Lytechinus pictus: one gene and its partner. The protein of the gene in region 1 interacts with the protein of each later gene in a pairwise test. Links are inferred from orthologs where the notes say so. Each region holds a gene or a part of one and is shown on either strand. Other genes may lie near its edges.

What was found. The genes of interacting proteins can lie anywhere in the genome.
Region 2: the proteins of phytanoyl-CoA dioxygenase, peroxisomal-like (region 1) and peroxisomal targeting signal 2 receptor-like interact in a two-hybrid assay, tested with the Homo sapiens proteins (2 studies listed by BioGRID, with this or other methods). The link is inferred for Lytechinus pictus from reciprocal best matches to the Homo sapiens genes PHYH and PEX7.

Annotation. Positions count from the first base shown.
Region 1 is NC_087251.1:22,709,570-22,717,504, forward strand, and holds the start of phytanoyl-CoA dioxygenase, peroxisomal-like, read right to left. Parts: upstream 3,012-7,935; 5' UTR 2,949-3,011; coding exon 2,871-2,948; intron 1-2,870. UniProt on the Homo sapiens protein: Catalyzes the 2-hydroxylation of not only racemic phytanoyl-CoA and the isomers of 3-methylhexadecanoyl-CoA, but also a variety of other mono-branched 3-methylacyl-CoA esters (with a chain length of at least seven carbon atoms) and straight-chain acyl-CoA esters (with a chain length longer than four carbon atoms).
Region 2 is NC_087248.1:6,724,453-6,731,746, reverse strand, and holds the start of peroxisomal targeting signal 2 receptor-like, read left to right. Parts: upstream 1-4,283; 5' UTR 4,284-4,675; intron 4,676-7,294. UniProt on the Homo sapiens protein: Receptor required for the peroxisomal import of proteins containing a C-terminal PTS2-type peroxisomal targeting signal. Specifically binds to cargo proteins containing a PTS2 peroxisomal targeting signal in the cytosol.

The DNA of each region.
Region 1 (7,935 bases):
CAACAAAATGTTGAAAGTGCCATATTTCATAGCTTTCTCGATATAATTCAAAGTAAACCACCGTTATAGCACACTGGCAAGCCATGGGTGTCGATTGGTAGCCTATTCATGGTTGGGGGATGTTTTGTTCTCTTGTGAGGGAATTTTGTTATTTTTCTATTTCTAGTCTAGTTTGGGCAGAGGTCAGTCGCGTAATGAGTCAGAAGTCTTAGGGCCAAGACATGACAAAAGGGCAAAATTTTGAAATTGTTGTGTGCAAGGGAAGCGAGCGAGCAAAAAATAGCCTTTTCAATACATAAATCAATTTGTTTTGACAGGTTTAAGACATATATCATATCAAAATCCGTTGCAAATATTTTATCTATAAAATGTATTGAAAATTTAGCTCTCTCGCTTCCCTCGCTCACAGCATTTTAAAATTAATTTTGCCCTTTGTCATGTCTTGCATCTAAAACTTTAGACTCATTACGCCACTGACCTCCATCCAAACTAAAATTAAAAGATTAAAAAATCCCTCACAAGATACTTGTTGTAAATTGTAGTAGTAATCCCTTTGGCAGCTCATACAGAAGCTATACTGGGATGATGAATAAAGTGAGCCACTGGAAGGAGTGTCATGAAGTGCAGATATGGTGATGGATAGACATACCAATATTGCATATGTACAGTAAAACATGCTACGCTGAGTGCAAGTAAAATCCAAGCTTCTGACTTTAAATCATATGGGATCCAACAGGGGGCTGCATCATTCTGATGGCAGGGAGAGCAGCCCTCTTGAAAGAGAAGAAAACAGCCCCCAAAAGGCCCAAGTTCCCAACCTAGACCAAAAGCTTCGGTCTTTGCTATATTGGTTGTTCAGCTGAACTCCGTTGGCTCCACTCACCAATTACAGAGACCGAAGGTTAGTTCTAACTCGATCTGTACAGGGACTCAATGGCCATATGTATAAAGTTCTGATAAACCAGGGAAGTGGGAGTTGAGCGACAGCCGAAGTAAGTCAGTTTTTTGTTTCTTTTAAGTTTATATTTTTCCTGTTTTGGTGCATTTCAGGCCAAAACGGAATAATAATCTTTATTTTGGTCCAGTTCTTTTTATATATTTTTATGAAATAAAGAAAAAAAATTGATGAGCCCGGTCAGGAAGATTTTGCATTGTTAACCCCCTAATTGCGGCTGCATGATCGCGAGCCGTCTGTGTACGACTCGAGGAGAAATAAAAAATAAATATTGAAAAACTCCTCGAAACAGACGGCTGCCAGCTGTCTACCACTCTACCCCCAACCATGAATACAGATCGACACCGATGACTTGCCAGTGTGTAGATCTAGACCTAGACCAAAAGCTTCAGTCTCTGTATTTTGGTTGTTCCGCTGAACTACGTTGGCTCCACTCACCATACATAGACTGAAGGGGATGGGGCCCCGTACCTACAGCCAACGTATAGTGAACTAGCGTTTTATAGATCGCGATTTAAAACTGTTTTTTAAGCAAAATTGAAAGTTTCATGGTTTCCATTATCAGGGAAATATAAAAAACTTAAGTAATTGCATACCTTGGGCTGGAGTTATTGAAAAAAATCCTCTGGATGATTGAGAAATCTGTCATCTAAGACATTTTCACCTGACCTGACGGTTTTTCTTGCAAGTTGCCATCTTGAATGACGTCATTATCGTTATTAACTTAATGTCTCGAATCGATATATCGCGATTATAACTAGTACTAGTACTAGTATAACTAGTATCGTTTATCTTCGGTTTCGTTCGCATATGGAGCAGATCGTATAATATCGAAAGCAATATCGATATCACATTCGTGATTGTTGACGTTCGTTCGTAAATATTTTATAGTTTGGCTGCCATTTTGACCATTTTTATCGTGTTCAACCCAATTAAACATCAGTAAAGTATATTTTTCATGCCTTTTTCATCTATATCGTTTAAAGTATTAAAACATTGAAATATCAAGGTCTAAAAGTTTGTTGTTTATACATCCTTAGATTGTAAATTCGATGTGTAAAATTACATCAAACTTTGGACTGTGAATTGACAAAAGGGAGGGAATGAGAACACATGCGAGCCCACACGTACACCCTACCGTCGGTAAATGGGGATTACAGTAAAATGTCAGAAATTGTTGAATAAATCCCCAGAAACGACGGTTATTCCTGTCTAATCTAGACCTAACGTTAGAACCTATTTCTACTAAACATGCTAAACAGTGTTTTATGTACGTCGTTAGACTACTTTGAATTCTATCTAGATAATTAGAGTAGAGTAGTAGACTCTATATGAAATATGGCGCTTTCAATTTCATAGTTTCAAGATGCCTGATGAGTGATGCTCTTTATAATTATAGTTCAATATTGCATATTTGGTGAGCGAAAGCAAATCAGCGGGTCGACGTCAATTTAGACAGACGTCATGACAGAGCTAAAAGCTTACTAATTATACTAGTAGTAGTAATAATAACCTCGCAATACGTGTGTAAAATAAAAATAAATTGTCTAAAATTTAAAAAGCGTGTTGCAATTTGCTTTTCATGTTTTTAAAAACAGAACCAGGCACAGACAGAGCTATTGCCATTTTTCTTTTTCATGACTGAAACAGAAAAACAACAAATTGGAACGGAAATAAGAGCGTAAAAAATGGGGCTCCCCTCCGCGGCACATACCGTACCCACCAAGCATATACTGAGTGCCCCCCCCCCCCTCCCGGGCTAAGAGTCCGAAGTCAAGGCCTTGCGAATTAACGTTAATCGTCCATCCACGAGAACGAAATGTGATTGTGAACCATATTCAACAGTTCAAGTAGCCTTGACCGTAAAGACTCTATACTATCATATTTGTCAATAATAACACTTCCACTGACTTACTAAACATGCTACAGGCAGTGATAAATGCCGATTAAAGATTTTCAGGCGTTTCAGAGTCCGCTCCTCCATCGAGTCCATGTTTGTGAAGACTGCACAGGAGCTTTTTAATACAGTTTTGATACGTACGTACGTATACCGCGCGCTGCGAACGTAATGTTATGGAAAGCCACCATTGCCATTTTACCTTATTTTCAAGCCTGTTGAATACGGTATGGGGGTGAATACCTAGCCTCTTGTCGAGGCCCTGTCGGCTGCTTTCCGAGCGAACATGGCACGGGAGAGAGCGAAGCAGAGGGAGCAGAGCGCCGCGAGACAGGGCCTCTTGACATCTGTGCCGAATTTCACCGACTTTCTTTTGGTTTTTGTTGTTTTTACCAATTCACCGACCAAAAACTGGTCGGTGAAAATCATCCAATGAGAGCGCGAGCTGCTATGACGTCATATTAAATATTCATGAGCTCCTCTTGAATGGCGACCCTTTGATTCTTGGCGAAGAGTGACGACGAAATATCAAAGAGCACTGAATATGCCTCTAAAACGCTGAATATTTACCGATTTAAGGATTTGCAAGTCGATGAAATTAACTCTGCAGTGAAAGGACGAGATGTCTTTGTAAATCTACCCACAGGATATGGAAAAAATGTAATATTTCATGCGATTCCACCGGTCGATCCGGGGCGTCGATTATCGATCTCCGCTGTGCAGTGCAGTGAGGGAAGCTGGGGTGGAGTTGCTGGGAGTTGACTCGAGTCTGACCAGCGGCTGGGCAGTATCTCCCGGGAAGTTTCGGGGCGGTGATGGGTCTGTTACGGCCAGTAGTAATAGTAGTAGTAGTAGTACCACTACATTTTGCTGGTTATATCCCCTTTAGTGTCCCGCAATTAAATGAATCCCCTGCAGAATAGTGGACTATTATATAGTAATTCCGAACCCAAGACGAAACAGCTCTGACATTTCATTGGTTTACTCGGTGACCGGTAATATCATGACTCATGTATATTCATTAGGACGACGTTCCTCATGAATATATAATTCAGTTCAGATGTCAAGAGGCCCCGGGGGCGAAATTATTTTTCCCACCGAGTTCTGGACCAACATATGAATATTCATGACTTGCGTCTTCGGTTTGAGAGTACGCATGCGCGTGGACTTGCGCCTCGACCAGCTAGTGCCGGTCGTAAGCATTCACGTTGCTCAGAATGAATTAGCATCGTCAAATTACCGGTACCCTTAAGGACGTTGCACAGTTATGTTTGTGCGCATTATGATCTGCGCATAGTTTACACTCTACGCGCTGACGTCACAATGGATGAACAGGTGATTAATTAGCTCTGGGTTTGAAGCTGATTTTTCTCATCTCCTGCACTTTAACTGCAGATCTGATGTGTTATTTCATGAAGCTAAAAATGGAATTATTCCATTAACCATTCAAAAAATAAATTCTCTACGATTTCAAAATACTTTACTCTGCAGTGCTGCCAAGAATCACGAATATTACCCCGAGATCGAATAAATGATAGAGTGGTTTTGATTTTTTCTTCACATAGATACAAAGCATTCGGCGCATTTTTGGTGTTTTAAAAAGCACATTTGCTCTAATAAAAATGCTGATAGTTTAAAAACAAGCACATGAACCCCTATTTTTTAATGTTTGTATCTCTTAGGTATACCTTTCTCTACAACTCTGCAAATTTTTGTGAAAATGACATGGATTTTGAATAATGTGCAGCATTTATTGTACGTTAGTAGTTTGTTACTGAAATTTTACATTTTTTAGATTGGGATTTTGTTATCTTTTACGCCATTTAAGAACTTACAGTGCTGTTAAGCTTAAAATTGCAAACAAATTGCACTATAAATAGATTCTCCATTCTAACGATACAATCTAAGCACTTTTTGTATTAATAAATGGGATATGTATGTAACTAAACAATTGATGCGAGCGCGAAGTGCGAGAGGAAGAAATTTGAGATTTTAGACCTTAAAGCAGGACACTCTATTCATTTTTGTAATCATAAATATGATATAGTTAATTGGTATCATTAATAATGCGATTGTAAAGCGTGAGCAGACATTCTTGATATTCTGATGTGAAACTGGATAATTTAAGTACATTTTAAATAAAGAACATGCAGGCTATCGCGCATGTTTTAGATTTAGACCTAGAATCTGGGCATTCTGAATACATTTGTTTAATGGAACATTATGGAATACACGTAGACATTTTGAACTTGGCAAATCAAACAATGTGGCCACGCAGCATGAGCTTAAAATATGTAGACCATAAAATGGACATTTTACAGAGCACTTAAATTTGTAAATAAAAAAAAATAATGAAAGCTCGAACGAAGTCCGAGCTAAAATATGTTTTTTATATTGATTTAAAAATTTGTTCCATATCAGCCTATTGAGCAAGATATGAATCTCATCGAACAGGCAATTCTGGCACAAAGCGCAAGCATAGTAACATGAAATATTTTTTTTTCAAGTCTTCCCCTCACATTATTTCATTCACTCGCCTTCCTCCCCTTATTTTCCTCTTCTTTTGTTTTCTTCTGTCTTTATTCTTCTTTTCTTTTTTCTTTTCTTCTTTCCCCTTTTTTTGCTCTGCCAATTTTTTTTGTGGGGGGGGGGGGTGCACACCGATTCTCAGGGGGGCACGTGCCCCCTGCACCCCCCGTAGCTACGCCACTGATGCACTGGCGTACCTAAGATTTTCCAAAAGGGGGGAAAATTTTTTGGAGGATATTTCTCAGTGGGGGGGGCACGTCCCCTGAATCAGTTGTGATTCGTCAGAGGGGCAGTCTGCCCCCCCCCCCTTGGTAAACTAGTGGTTCCATGCTGATACAGCGTAGATCAGAGTCTAGATCTAGAGACTAGACTCGAACTAAGATAATTTTTTTAGACCTAGGACTGGTTTTGTATACGGACTAGACAAACCATGGAAAATAAGCTAACATTTGTCTAAACCTAATTAAACGTAAAGTTCGGTATTAACCAGTTCGAATTTAACCATGGCATATTGGCATTAGTCGGCTATTCAGCGTTGTAGTCAAGGCTCAAACCTCCAAGGCCAAGGCTTCAATACCAAAGGCCACGGCGTGGAAACCCAAGGCCAAGGCCTGAAAACCTCACGGCCAAGGCATTTCAAATTTACGATATACAGAACAATGAACTAACAATACTTAGGCGGCAGACAACACACATAGTAAAATGTATGTGAGCGAGGGGACTGAGCAAGAAAAAAATTAACCTTTGCACATTTAAAACAAAAATAATTTCATGATGGAGATATATTAAAATAATTATAGTTACCTGTGTACACATAATCCATAATTTTTCTAGGCGATTACATGTATTTTCAAAATGAGATTATGAACTGCGTGAAGTAATTGTGTGTTTTGTAGAAATTAAGTTGAACAAAGGCTTTCTAAAATGATTTTTAATTATGAGATATATATTTTGATTTAGGTTTTGCTTCTCAGTGACAAAGCCTTGCGAGCAAGCGGTTTTGAAAAAAAAATCAATTCTGAAGTTGTAAAACTTGATTTATGGTCAATTATGGGGCTAAGCATCCTTGCGCAATGTTGCCAGCGCAAACCACCAGCTAAAACTTCTTGACATGTCGTGTAATAAGACATGGAAATTAAATATTCTGAGCTGGTTTTGTAATCATGAAAAAGATGTCTATCTAACTAAAAAATAACTTTACGCTAGCTAAATTTTTTTGATATACTGACCAGTAAAGGAAGCAGTTAATTACTGCATTTTAAATAGGATACATACTCACCAATAAAAATAATGCGAGCGCAAAACGCGAGCTCAAAAATTTGTGATATTCCAACCTGAAAACTGGACATTCTCAGCATTTTTTTTGTGAACGGAAAGAGAACGAGTACAATAATTGATGCGAGTGCAGGAAGCAAGCCAAAAATTTGTGATATTCCAACCATAAAGCAACATTTTATACATTTTTGTAACCATGAGCAGGATTAGTACTGCATGTACTAAACAATAATTGATGCAAGCACGATTCAAAATCTGTGATTTTCGAACCTAAAATGTATTATGTTTTATTATTAAATAAGGTATATTTCCTTTAAAAAAAGGGCATATTTCATTTGAAAAAAAAAATCCTACAGGGAATTTTTATTTAGGGGGGGGGGGACAAGAGAGCACAAAGCGCAAGCTAAAATTTTCAAATGCTTAAACTGAAAATGAATCATTTTTAGGACTCTTGTCAGTTTTCATATTTTTTCTGCTTACAACCACTTTTATATTTTAATTCTCATTTCTTGTATCTTCTACACTTATTATACCTTAAAAAACAGAATAAAGAATACTAACAAAATAATAAAGTTATATTCAAAAGGTTATAAAAGAAACAGGGCGCACCACATACCCTTAGTTAGGAGAGGGTAAATCTTAATTATTTTTTTAAGCAGTTAATCAATCATTAATACTTACTGATAATATTAATAATTATTAATTATACCATTATTATTTTTCTTATTAATTATTATTTCTTGAAACCATATTGACACAAAAACAAATACGTTGCTATATATATAGATCTAAGCCTGTGAGGCCTATGTAACCGGTAATTTGACGATGCTAATTCATTCTGAGCAACTAAACGTGAATGCTTACGACCGGCACTGGTCGAGGCAAAGTCCACGCGCATGCGTACTCTTAATCCGAAGACGCAATTCATGAATATTCATATGTTGGTCCAGAACTCGGTGGGAAAAATAATTTCGCGCCCCGGGGCCCGTTTCTCAACACCTGGACAAGTTAGTCATATCTTTATCCACCAACCACGGAGTTAGTTCCAATCTTACTATACCTGTTTCACGAAAGGCTTCCTAACTAGAATACCTTGATATCGATACTATTGGTAAAAAGAGCAGACGAGACGTAGCCTTAGTCACAAAATAGCATAATTTTCAAAAAGAAAAATTATGACAAAATTGCAAATATTGTGATAAATTGGGGAATACATCTTTTCAAAATAATAGCACAAGTAAATTATGCATCATACATACTTAGACAATGAAGATTGGAG
Region 2 (7,294 bases), on another chromosome or scaffold:
TGGTCGCCATGTCAGGTTTCCTGCCAAGTACGTTCAATTTTTCGGAGACGGTTGAAACATTTCTCAAAATTAACTGATGTTTCCACTCCTTTTATTTTCTTGTTTTATATAGCCAAGTTCACTTTTACTTTCCCTTGTCGATTTGTTACTACATTTCTATTCGGTACAAATCTAGGGGGGAGCTACTGTAGTGACTTGACTATATCTTTTTATATATCTACATCTATATATTCTTTCCTTGTATATATTTTCATTTATATTTCAACATTCTGTATATGTATATAAATTCTTTCTTTTATTTCCAATTTCATATATTCTCACTTGTTCACGCCATGTGTATTTACTACAATACTGTACATTCACAGAGCAAGCCAACTCATTTTCTGTCCAAATCTACTTGGCAAACACATTCTTATATTGAGAAACAACCTTTCTTTTGTTCCTAGACTTGGAGCAAACATCCTTTCATTGTTCCTTGTTTATTGCAATAAACTTGCAGGTATACAACATCACTACAGAGATGCTCGCATGTTTGCTTTTCTCACAGTCTGCTTCTCTCCTCTTTGTTCTTCTCAACTGTGTTTTGTCCTCTTTTTGGCGCTTATTTCTTTGTCTCATCTTTTCTGATGTTGGTAAAAACAACTTGTTTTCTCTACCACATCATCACTCTACTCTCTGCCTTCGTCCTGTCCACTCATGCTGACCATCTCATCCAGCTGCTAGTGAGGATTGAATCAAATCTTGTGGAGGATCAGCTTATACTTAATTATTTCTCTGCATTTTCCAATCTTATTCCTTACCGTCACTTCCACTCATTCGAAGTCTATATCCTCTGCATATTTAATGAGCTCATTACTTCGCGAGACATTTTGTGACATCTGTCCCTTTTTTCTAATCTATTTGAAATTGTGAAGTGTATATATTTCTATTCACGGATTTGTGCAATTTACCTGAGATTCTGAGCGGCTGGACCCCATTCTATCTTCTGGCGAGCAAGAATTAAGGTAGGACCTAACTTTTATATAAATATTAGGAGATTGTATAGCCAATTTCCTAAACCCCCTTTATAATGATATAAATCTTCTCTTCAACCTCGTGGTGATAGCGGACCCCGCCATAAACTTTTAAAGACTGTACTCAAGGCTCGACATTAGCGGTGGCCCGGTGGCCCGGGGCCACCAAAAATTCACCTCGGGCAACCATTATTGATAAAATGTTAAGTTTTGGTGGCCCGAATCGGGCCACCAATAATTTTCAAAGTAGCGCAATTTTTCTCCCAATTTTGCACGCATTTATCAACTTTCTACAGCTCAAATTGCAAGCCAGTTCGTCATGCGCCCTTTTTGTTGATCTACACACAAATACACACACACAAAGTTTGCATATTAGGCCTACAGCTATAGCATTCAGTAGCTATTATCCAGCCAGACGCACCGGCCGGCTGGCGTGAGCTTTGCATGAAGCCACTGCATACAGCTGTGCTCTAGATCTAGCTCAGCCTATTCAGACTCGGGGAGCTGCGATAAAAAATGTTGCTGCTGAGAAATCTTCCACAGAACTTTGAAAATCTCAGTCAAAGTCACATTTTACACCAATGAAATGCAATTCTACAGTCTATATTACGAAAATCTGGTGGACCCTGATTATTTGCAAGTATTAAGAAGAGGAATTATGACCTCTCTTTTGACTCAAAAAGACCGATTTCCACATGAATTAATACACATAAAAACACATAGGCAAGTACATCACAGTCCCACGTGTGCATTTGTATGTATGTTGATACTTGGTTTCTTTCGAAGCTGTGTATTTTCTAGCCAAAAACAAACAGTTTCTTTCTTTCTTGTTTATAAATGACTTCTTAAACCACTCTTGAGAAAGTAAATACTTTGGGAAGGCATTTCATTGATATGAAATGTGATTTTTTCCCCAACATTTTGGCAAATATAGGGAAGGACTTTTCTCACACTTTTTATCCAGAATCACCAGATATAATTTTTGCCGTTTTCATATTTTTTTTCCTTTCATTTTTTTGACAGTGGTTAAACCATTTATACCCCTTCCCATTGAATATGCCTGATTAAAAAATATGTTTCTACTGAAAATGAAATAATACAAACTAAAGGATATAAAAATAAAAATGTGCCATTCCCAAAAAGTAAGTGAAAATTATTTGCTTGGCTTTAAATAATTATATTCCAGTCAGAATAGACTGTTGCCACAGCTGTTTAAAAATATATGTAATGGCTTCTTAATTTTCCCCTTTTCCCCATTTTTTTATTAAGTTTGTTTTATTAATTTTTCTTTCATTTTCTTTTCTTTTTTCTCTCTAATTTTTTTCTTTTCTATTTTTCTTTTTTTCCCTGTTCTTTGTTTTTTTCTTTCTTCATTTTCTTTCTTTTGTTTTATTTCACTAATTTCTTTTATTATTTTTGTTTTCTTTTTGTAATATACTTTATGAAAATTATTTTCGTTTGTTTCCCCCTTTTATGCATTGTTCTAATTTTGCAGCATATTTTTCTGTGATTTTCTCCTTCTATAATATGCTGCAAAAGAGAAAACAGAAATAAACTGGATTTGGGGCATGCATAATCTAGGTTTTAGGATTCAAAGAGGAAGGAAGGAAAAACCATTGTTTTGTACATGTATCTATCTGAATTTGCTATGCACTATTTATTTACTTTACCATTATCTCTATACAGAGATTTTAAAAAAAGTCCACACAACCTGCGAACAATACAATTCATTTATTCTCTTTCAATCATTTCATGTTTACCATGATAGAAACATTTATCAATTAGCAAAGTAAAATAACAGCGAACAAGGTTTACATACAAGATGTATAAAGTAAAAGTAACATAGTGGTACTGGTAGTGGCTGCAGAATTAATATTTCGGAAGTTTGTTTTATTCATTTTTAATGTTTTTCTTTATATTTTTCGGGCCACCAAACTTTAATATCGGGCCACCAAAAAAAATCATATAATGGTTTTGGTGGCCCGAACGGGCCACCACCAAAAAAAGTTAATGTGGAGCCTTGCTGTACTATTGACGGAGCTTATTGCGTTACTCTCTTACATCGTTTATGATGATATACATTTTATTTTTAATCTCGTGGTGATAGCGGATGCCGCCTTGAACTTTTAAAGGTCGTATTACCGACGGAGCTCACTGCGCTACTCTCTTACCCCCTTTTTTGATGATAGACATCTTCTCTTCAACCTCGTGGTGATAGCGGACCCCGCCGTGAACTTCAAATTGATTTGAAAACGCTAGCTACCCAAAACATTTTAATAACATATTTCAAATCATCGTGCGTGCTTGCGTCTTCTACTTCATTTTAATTGCACTTGCGACTTTAAGATGATGCGTCGTAAGAGATCATTCCAATAATTCTAAATCGCTAGCACCTAAAAATACTTCTAAAAGATGTCCCGCCGATCGTTCATTAACCTGTGATCTATGAGAAATATTTTCATTTTATTTTCCTTTGCGCCTTTGCTCGGAAGATGCGTCTTTCGTTTATCTTTCTAATAAAAATCACTCGGTTTATTTTAAAGCAATAACACCTCAAAACCCCTTGCTTTAAAACATGTTCCAAATGATCGCGCATGTTCAATGTTGGCGACTTCCATTCCAATGCATTCGTCTTTGTGACTTTGTCAGGAAGATGCACACGACCGCGAACAACATTTTGATGTCATTATTCCTTTGTTTTTAAACATCGCCGATTCGATTTTCGATTCGATTTCGATTTTAGAAGCTTAACTGCCGATCCGATTTTCGATCTGATTTTTGATCCGATTTACAACATTAGGCCTATACAATATCATACAATTCATAGAGAACAAATATTGATGATGATTAGCACTAATCAATGCACAGTTTTTGTTTAATCCAAAGACAAAAAAGAAGGCTTCGTTTTTGTTACGTGTCCGGACACCCAACCCCCCATCCTACTCGTCTAGTCCTTCATCCAAGCCAGCGCGCGCCTGTACTTACCCAGCACAAGTCGTGCAAGATCCGAAGGGAGTGCTCTCACGTTAACCATTTTCTAATTTCAATTTTCACATTTATCAACAGCACGTCCAGTTTGCCGACTATGACATGGTGAGTCCTCTGCCTTACCTTGAAGGATGGATTATACAGTAAATCGATAAAACGACACCTGAAAGCGAGGAACTATTGGATTTCAGAGTTTGTTTATGTTTTATATTTCTCGCGGCGAAGTTTCAATTTTGCAGCAATCGCGCGAAATCCTTTTGCCATCCACTTCCGGTAAGGGTCAGCAGCTGTGTGACCTTTCAGATTATGCAATGAAGGTGTTTTGGCCCGCGGCTGCGATCTTGTACAATTTTACTAGGGACAGGACAGTCAATTTGTATACACATTAGACTTAGTATGAGTCACTGGAGTGAAGTTAAGCATTTCAAAAGTCTACTTCTTTCGGCTTACCTTTGCAAGCTAATGACGAAATTCCAAAGATAAATCACCACGTGTACGTGACTGCGACTTTTTTGCGGGGTTTTAAATTCTGGCAGAAAGCTCAGCAGCAACGAGAAACCGAACTCGGCGTCCCAGGGGCCGGGCCCGGTGCCAGTACAACAGTAGACAGTCAGTAGTGTCGCTGGATGGACAATCGCAGGCGCAGTTCTGCAGCAGCTGTCTCATCTCATTTGGTAATGAACATTTTTGCACATTTTGGTTACAAATCTAGTATAATAGTAACAAGATCACTAACTTAATTCTTTAAAGGTCAAGAGCTAGAGACAAGATAGACAGCTGGCAGCCGTCTGTTTCGAGGAGTTTAAAAAAAAAAATTATTTTATAAACTTCTCCTCATACACAGTCTAGTCACAGACGGCTCGCTATCGTGCAGCCACCATTAGGGGACTTACAATGCAAAATACCCCCGTTGGGGCTCTTCAATTTTTGTCTTTAATGAATCAAACTTTTGAAAATTAACACGACCGAAATGCAAATTAATATTCCCTCTTGCCATTAATTGCCAAAAAACAGGGAAAATCAAGTTAAAAGGAACAAAAACAGTGACTTACCTCGGCTGTCGCGCAACTTCACTGCCCTGTTTTATCCGAACTTAATACACATAAACATATGGCCATTGATTCCCTGTACAGATTGCGCTAGAACTTCGGTCTCTGTATTTGGTGAGTGCATGAAGCCAACGGAGTTCAGGGGCCCGTTTCTCAACACCGTCATAAGTCTAACTTCTTGACTAAATCGGAGATAGTGAGCTACTTGTCCGCTAACCGTTTCACTAAGCCCTCTTTACCAAGATCGGGTACAACAACCTCACTAAATAGTTATGACACCTCCGAACCTGTCTTAACTTCTTTTTAATGACGTAGTGACATTACGTGGGTAGACTATGACATGCAAAAGTGCCTAGAAATTTTACAATTATAATCTTACGTAATCAATCATAGTGGTTGAAATTACATCACAAAACAAGTGGGTTAATGCATTCAATGATAATTATAATACAAAGAAACTATAAAAACTGTTGGTAAACGCCACAAAACCATTCATTTTGAAATAGTAAAATGATTTAATCGATAAAGATTCTACCACGTCAGGCCATCCATAACTGAACTCGTATTTGTTGTTTTCAGACCCTTATTAACAGTTGGATGAATTCTATCTCTAATTTATGCATATAATTTGTCCAATATCGTATCTTTCAGTATCAATGATTAAAAATGTTTCGTTAAACTACATTTTGATGACGTTTGGAATCGTAAAAGTCCGTATAATTATCATCATTTTACAAAGAAAACCGTTATGGTTTACTTTCGTAAACTATTAAAATTTGGTCTCCCGGGAGTATCCACCTCAACGTCCACAAGTGATTTTTTAGTCATGAAATGAATTATTCATAATTTAATTTTCTCTGCAATTGAATGCTCCAGTCTTCATGGTCTAAGTGTGTATGATGCATAATTCACCTGTGCTATTATTTTGAAAAGATTTATTTCCCAATTCATCATAATATTTGCAATTTTGTCATAATTTTTCTTTTTGAAAATCATGCTATTTTGTGACTAAGGCTACGTCTCGTCTGTTCTTTTTACCGATAGTATCGATATCAAGGTATTCTAGTTAGGAAGCCTTTCGAGAAACAGGTTTAGTAAGATTGGAACTAACTCCGTGGTTGGTGGATAAAGATATTACTAACTTGTTCATGTGTTGAGAAACGGGCCCCAGCTGAACAACCAACATAACAGAGACCGAAGCTTTTGGTCTAGAGACAAGACAAGTCCACCCCAGAAAAATGTTGATTTGAATAAATTAGAGTTTGATTCTATTTCTAGACTTTAAAAATTTAGTAGTATAAATAAATCCGATTTTGATGAAATTTTCAGTTTTACATGTATGCTTGTTGGATTTTTCTCTTTTTATTCAAATCAACTTTTTGTTGGGGTGGACTTGTCCTTTAACTGTCATCCTAAGATAAAATATTAAATGGAGATCCAGGGCCCAGGCTGCAGAAAAGGAGATGATAAAAAGAGAAATGCTTTGCCCCTTCATCAGTAGAGGCGCACAGCCAATTTGGGAGACTGTCTCCCATGTGGGACATCTGCAATATCAGAAACTTTTTACTTTTGTAAAGAATTTGGGTATCCAATTTCAGAGACAGTCTCCAGCTCCAGTTTGGCCTTTGCTGGGCTTTGGGAGACCAATTTCCTTGGTTTACATTCTTGACATTTGCTGCAAAAGGATTACCTTGGCAGCAAATGGAAATGTGATAAGCAGATTCCTCATGAAAAATTACCCCTTTTCATCGTCTACTTTTTTTTATAAGGTTTTTCGTTGTTATCTAAACAGAAAACAAATTATGTTCTTTTTTGTTTTGTTTCTTTTGTCTTTTAGATTTTTTCCTATATTGGAGAGAGTCCCCCACATTGGCTGTGCGCCTCTACTGCCCTTTCTAAATTCTAGTTGGCATTTGACTTGGTCTTATTTTCACCTATCCGATATACAAGGTTATAATTTTGTCCTAAACCCCTGGCCTGTGTAGTGAAATAACATTGGCAATGTTTGGCCTATTTTCTCTTGTTCTAAGACTAAGGGATGAACATGATAATTAATTGATATTGAGTGTCAGTTGCTATTACAGTTATTAATCATATAACATGGCCCTAGCCAGGCCTAAGTTAATTTGAATTCTTCTCTATCTTTTCTAAATTAAAAAGAGAGTAAGGGATTGTCCAATCCTGACTTTCACCAATACTAGAGGGTCTCACAAAAATATGTTAAAAAGTTTTTTAGCACTCTGG